Saccharomyces cerevisiae S288C: one gene and its partner. The gene in region 1 interacts genetically with each later gene. Each region holds a gene or a part of one and is shown in the gene's direction. Other genes may lie near its edges.

Evidence for each region.
Region 2: mutations in LGE1 (region 1) and DEP1 together harm fitness more than expected from each alone (negative genetic interaction), as found in Saccharomyces cerevisiae (5 studies listed by BioGRID, with this or other methods).

What each region holds. Positions count from the first base shown.
Region 1 is NC_001148.4:453,389-456,860, reverse strand, and holds LGE1 (Lge1p), read left to right. Parts: upstream 1-1,870; coding exon 1,871-2,869; downstream 2,870-3,472. Other genes in the region: LEE1 (Lee1p), read right to left, coding at 197-1,102; LCL1 (Lcl1p), read left to right, coding at 3,126-3,431. UniProt on the Saccharomyces cerevisiae protein: Required to activate transcription of PDR3, a gene involved in retrograde regulation of multidrug resistance, a phenomenon that takes place in cells that have lost their mitochondrial genome. Also required for ubiquitination of histone H2B to form H2BK123ub1.
Region 2 is NC_001133.9:127,657-130,987, forward strand, and holds DEP1 (Rpd3L histone deacetylase complex subunit DEP1), read left to right. Parts: upstream 1-1,613; coding exon 1,614-2,831; downstream 2,832-3,331. Other genes in the region: bifunctional N-glycosylase/AP lyase NTG1, read right to left, coding at 1-446; SYN8 (syntaxin), read right to left, coding at 596-1,363; cystathionine gamma-lyase CYS3, read left to right, coding at 3,143-3,331. UniProt on the Saccharomyces cerevisiae protein: Component of the RPD3C(L) histone deacetylase complex (HDAC) responsible for the deacetylation of lysine residues on the N-terminal part of the core histones (H2A, H2B, H3 and H4).

The sequences.
Region 1 (3,472 bases):
TTGGATATTACTATGCAAAATGCAACCGTATTTTAAAATAAAATTAAAAGAATCCAACTCATACAATGAAATGTTTTTTATATTAAACGTGCTTTTTTTTATTATTTTTTGTTCTTATTTTCCGGCTTTCGGAAGATGTAGAGTGGTCCGGTATATTAATGCTTGAACTAGGAAAAACTATGGATGGGGCGGCTCTTCATTCATGACAGTATCTGGAATTGAAATTGTGAATAAGTAAATCTTCAATTTCATTATCTGATTCTTCTTGAATTGCAGGGCCTGTACGATACCTTAAATTCTGATTCACACTCGGATTCGATAACGTAGTTTGGCCTTGCTCTTGCCAAATGTTAGATGAAGACGAAGAGACTGGAGAATAGGCATTAATGTTGGAGTTATTATAGCTATAGTTGATGTACGAAGAAGAAGACGAAGGGGGAGAAAAGAATTCAGTATATAGGGCCTCTGGACTTTTCTGAGGCGAATACATTAGGTATTGCGAGGAAAAGTAGTTTGCATTCGAAGCAGAGTGAGAGAATTCCGTTTGTGCAGACAGAGGAGGAGACGTGTAGGTAGAGAAAGAAGCTGATCTAGCATGGGATAAGTAGTTGTTTTGTGAAGGGGGAGTGATGTCAATAGGTTCTTTACTGTTCATCTTGAACCCATTTGGCAGCACATGAGCATTAACACACTTGTTACCGAATTTACAGTTACCCTTTGCGAAATACTTGCAAGGTAAATTATTCGCAGAACTGATAATATCTGGGGAATGGGAAAAGGGACAAGACGAGCCAGCTTGGCAATTGCCCATCTTAAAAAATTTGCATGGCACGTGTGAATAGTCCTTCTGCTGTTGAGAATTGTTCTTCGTTATCAGTAAATGTTCCATGATAATTTTTTGTTGACGTGATGAGAAAGGCAGTTGATTGCCGACAGTACAATTTTTTGACAAATTTACATTTGCATTGCTGTCATTGAAAGACCTTGGAATATTCTGGAAATCCTGAATTTGCGATGCAAGCATTTCGTTTGCTGATTGGGAGTTTCTTCTTGCGTTACCGCCCGGATGATTTGATACAGACATATTCTCAAAAGCATCCATTTTGTTTTAGCAAATAATAGTTTTAAGATTTATAATAATAATAATAATAGTAATAGTAATAGTAGTAGTTATGATAGTGTTAGATAATAAAATCGAGATTTTGTAGAAACAAGGGGAAGCCGAAAAAGAAGAAATTATAATTACTCTAATATGACGGCACAAGAGAAAAGGGAAAAGAGTAACTGCTAAGAGATTCTGTTTTTATAATGCCCGGAGTAAAAGAAGCTTTGAGATTAAAAGATCACCACCATATTTTGTAATAATTTACTTTAGATTGAGATATAGGGGAAGAACTACACGAAGCACCGAAATCCAAAACTTAAAAATTACAAGATAAGCACGAAAATACATAATACAAATAAAAAATGATAAAGGCAGAATTATACTGTGGTACCTTGAAGATAAGAATACCGTACCACAACATGTTAATCTCCACATCATTTTATTACTAGCACTGCCACACCGTGCACCCCATACAGGATGTTGTCTGCACCTTTTCTTCCTATCATCTTTTTTATCCCACATCATACTGTGGCGGGCCTGTAGTAGAGCTCCCTTTCACCTTGGCGTTTTAAGGGGCGGGGCAAGAGTGGCGGGGAATTCCGCCGTTCCGAATTGAAAAAAAAGACACTTTGTACGGGCCATTACCCTGTGAAGTTCTTTTTTTTCTCTTATTTTCATCAGAGAGAATGAATCAACTGCGATGAAAGGAAAGAACACCACATTTATTACGAGGCAGAAGAGGTGACCAAAAAACCGCAGTAAAGTATGAGCGGATACACGGGAAATAATTATAGCAGATACTCATCCACTCCTCCGAGACAAAGGGGGGGTTATCACCATGCGAGACGAAGTAGAGGTGGAGCAGGCGGATCGTATTACAGAGGCGGTAATGCGTCTTATGGCGCGAGATACAACAGTGACTATGAGCAGCCGCCCCAAGAGGGAGACTTGAGACAAACCGGAGCATACTATCGAAACGGATACACAGATACAAGGCCGTACTATTCAGCTAATAGCAGGCATTACCAAGCACAACCATCCCCCAGGTACAACAATGGTACAAATTCGTACCACCTACCGCAACGTGGCAATAGTCAAGATACGAACGGCAGGACCACGAGCGCCTCGCAAGAAGATAATGACGAAAAAAGAGTCAAGTCCAGATACCGGAACATGCAGGCAGATCATCCACGCCAACAACCGATGAGCGTTGGCAGCACCAGCAGCAGAAATGGTAGTAGTGGGAACAGCAGCACTAGCAGCACCAGCAACGGGCTTCCGCCACCACCTTCAGTATCGTCTATAACCAACAATAGATCATATCACAGCAGTGCTTATCCATATTCCAGCAGCCATACTTACAATAATTACCACCACCGTGAGACACCACCGCCTCCCCCATCGAATGGCTATTATGCAAAGGGTTACCCAGTACACGTACCAGAAAATAGAAGTAACAGCGACGGCTCTAGCAGCAGCGTCGTCAAGAAGAAAAGAATACTAGATATGAAAGATTCCCCCTTTATTTACTTGACAGATTTTGATAAAAATGTGAAAAAGACAAACAACACCGAAAGTGAATGTGAAAAGGCGAGGGAAGTTTTCAAAGAGAGCGATTCCATCGATTCCGCTTTGGAAGAACTAAACCTAAAAATCAATTCTAATGAGCTAGAATTGCGGCTCCTAAATAACCAGTGCGACAAGCATGCATTAAATATTCAACTGACCCAAGAAAAGCTGGACTCATTGTTATTAATGCAGTAGGGTATACCGTACCTATAAATAGATAAACTACGTAAACGCAAGCGGCGGAAATTGAAAAAGGAAATTATAAGGAAGTGACTAGCGTTTTGATTTCATGAATCGAGAAAAGGTACTGCTAGGTTAAGCCCGATTAGGTAAAGAGCCAGGAAAGCGACTAGGAAAGCGACTACGAAAAAAGAAAAAACTGCGAAACTGTGAAAGTGCGTGTCAGCCATCTGTCTTTGGAATCGATTATCTATTTGCTTTGATCCCCTTTATGAAGAACGCAGCATTGTGTGAGGCTCTTCCTCTGCTCGCCACGTGCTCCCACGAAATCCCACCCACACCACACACGGTCTGTTTCGTCTTCCCCCCCGCATTATTACTATCCCCGAGCAAACTCACACTTTTGAATTCGCGTCGCGTCGCGTCGCGCTGCGTCATTATCATTGACCCACGCTTGCTGCGTCTCTTCTCTTGCTCCCGGCCACAACAACTCCCCCGGGATAAAAACCAATCTTTTGCTAAGCCATCTTTTTCTTTTTTTTTCTTTCTTCTTACCTCGTTATTATCGCCTTTCTAAACTTCCTTGGCCAAGCCTTTCAGCGGTGCTTTTTTGTTCTC
Region 2 (3,331 bases), on another chromosome or scaffold:
CCAAGAAGGACCTGTAATCTGTAGTCCCTCGGTGATATCTGCTCTTTCGAGATACCACACTTAGAGGCAACCGTTACAGGAATGGATGATCCACCAATTATATCGACGGGGGCTAGAATCTTAGATCTCAGTACTCGCATTCTAGCGTATGTTTCTTGAAACTTGTAAGGGACTTTCGTCGAGGCCGGAGTGACAAGGATCGAGGGGTCCAATGGTGTGGCCCACCTGTTGGGCACATTGCCGTTTCTAACCACAATCCATTCGAAGTACTGCTTATTTGGCAGCGATTTAACCCAGTCGATATCCACGGGTTGAGGGACAACCTCTTCTTGTTTGATTTTGGTCCTTTTCTCCGGTAGGAGTTCTGATTCTGGCCCAGTTTCAGTCTTTACCAGCGGTCTTTTCCTCAGAATTGCCATAGATGAGTATTTACTGATCTTTTGCATATTTTTTTTTTTTTTGGGCTATAAAGTATATATAGATACAAATATATGATGAATCATTAAAGAGGAGGTTATTACTAAGTGAAAGAAAAAGAAAAAAAAAAAGATCAAAACCAAACTTCGTATTCGAGCCTAAAAAACAGAATATAATGTTATAATACTAATAGAAGCAACAGGAGCACCACTATCAGCACAAGAATAATCACGCAGTTGCCGTTATCCTTGAACCTAGAATTGTTAAAGCCATGCATGGACCGAGAGGCCCTGTTCAAATTCCTACCATTATTATCAATCAGGTTTTCTAAATCAACCAGCAGCGAGTCGTTCTGAGAAACGATCTCATTATTAAGGTCCAGCGAAATGTCATGAGTCCTCCCAATAGACTGAGACAGTGCGCCCAAGTGGGAATCTTGCTCTAACAACTGCTGTTGCTGGTTAATAAATAGTTCTTGGTTGGAAACCATGGGTTGTGGTGGCTGTGGCTGTGACTGTGACTGTAACTGCGATTGCAATGGTTCATCCTTGTATGGAGTATGCGTCGAAGGCAGCGGCGACTCCTCGTCTTGTTCATCGTCATCCTTATACATGACCGTAAGCTCGTCATCATTCTTGAACCGCACTTTTTTCAAAGACTCTTTGGACACCTCATCAGTATTTCTTGCCACCTGCTGTTGGAACCTATACAACTCCTTGTCAACCGCCGTATCAGGAATTTTGTCCAGTATGGTATTGTATCGGGATATTAGTTCATCATTGGGCGCACACTTCTGCAATAACTCCAATATTGAGCCCAATTGCCGTTTCAAAGTAACGTTATCGTTTGAGGTCGGGGCGAGCTTCAACACCGACACTAGCCTTGTTCTTTCTTCGACCAGATCAGAGAGCTGGTCCAGTTCATAACCCAGCTTCAACACATCCATACCGTGTGTGCTTACGCATCTATTTGCTGTCGTGAGATCTGTCTCTATGCTTTATTCGTTTTCCATTGTAAAGTCTCAGCATTTATTTCTTGTTCTTTACTTGTTTTTGCCCTTTCGGGTGATCAAAGTCGTGCTGGGAAATTTTATTCTTATAAAATGATTTTTAGAAATAATAAACTCATAACAGTGCAACGGCAAAGTACAAGGGAAGGAAGCACAGAAGCAAGAGGAGGCGCATCGATCGTGGCAGATGAGTCAGCAAACACCACAGGAAAGTGAACAGACCACAGCGAAAGAACAGGACCTTGATCAAGAGAGCGTGTTGAGCAACATTGACTTCAATACGGATTTGAATCACAATTTGAATTTATCGGAATACTGTATATCCAGTGACGCAGGAACAGAGAAGATGGATAGCGACGAGGAGAAGTCGTTGGCCAATCTGCCGGAGTTGAAATACGCTCCCAAGCTATCCAGCCTGGTGAAGCAAGAGACGCTCACCGAGAGCTTGAAAAGACCACACGAAGATGAGAAAGAGGCGATAGATGAGGCCAAGAAGATGAAAGTGCCGGGAGAGAACGAGGACGAAAGCAAGGAAGAGGAAAAGAGTCAAGAACTGGAAGAGGCAATTGACAGCAAGGAGAAGAGCACCGACGCCAGGGACGAGCAAGGGGACGAAGGTGATAATGAGGAGGAAAACAACGAGGAGGATAATGAAAACGAAAACGAGCATACAGCACCGCCTGCGCTGGTGATGCCCTCCCCCATCGAAATGGAGGAACAGAGGATGACTGCGCTGAAGGAAATCACCGACATCGAGTACAAGTTCGCGCAATTGCGCCAAAAACTATATGACAATCAATTGGTGCGGTTGCAAACGGAGCTGCAGATGTGTCTGGAAGGGTCACACCCGGAATTGCAGGTCTACTACTCGAAGATTGCCGCGATCCGTGACTACAAGCTACACCGAGCGTACCAGCGACAGAAGTACGAGCTTTCATGCATCAACACAGAAACAATCGCTACCAGGACATTCATTCACCAGGACTTCCACAAGAAGGTCACCGACCTGCGAGCCAGGCTGCTGAACAGAACCACGCAGACCTGGTACGATATCAACAAGGAGCGCCGCGATATGGATATAGTCATCCCAGATGTCAATTACCACGTCCCCATCAAACTTGATAACAAGACGCTGAGCTGTATCACGGGCTACGCCAGCGCAGCACAGCTGTGCTATCCCGGCGAGCCCGTGGCAGAGGACCTCGCTTGCGAAAGCATCGAGTACCGCTACAGAGCCAACCCGGTGGACAAACTCGAAGTCATTGTGGACCGAATGAGGCTCAATAACGAGATTAGCGACCTCGAAGGCCTGCGCAAATATTTCCACTCCTTCCCGGGTGCTCCTGAGTTGAACCCGCTTAGAGACTCCGAAATCAACGACGACTTCCACCAGTGGGCCCAGTGACCGCCACACTGGACCCCATACCACTTCTTTTTGTTATTCTTAAATATGTTGTAACGCTATGTAATTCCACCCTTCATTACTAATAATTAGCCATTCACGTGATCTCAGCCAGTTGTGGCGCCACACTTTTTTTTCCATAAAAATCCTCGAGGAAAAGAAAAGAAAAAAATATTTCAGTTATTTAAAGCATAAGATGCCAGGTAGATGGAACTTGTGCCGTGCCAGATTGAATTTTGAAAGTACAATTGAGGCCTATACACATAGACATTTGCACCTTATACATATACACACAAGACAAAACCAAAAAAAATATGACTCTACAAGAATCTGATAAATTTGCTACCAAGGCCATTCATGCCGGTGAACATGTGGACGTTCACGGTTCCGTGATCGAACCCATTTCTTTGTCCACCACTTTCAAACAATCTTCTCCAGCTAACCCTATCGGTACTTACGAATACTCCAGATCTCAAAATCCTAACAGAGAGAACTTGGAAAGA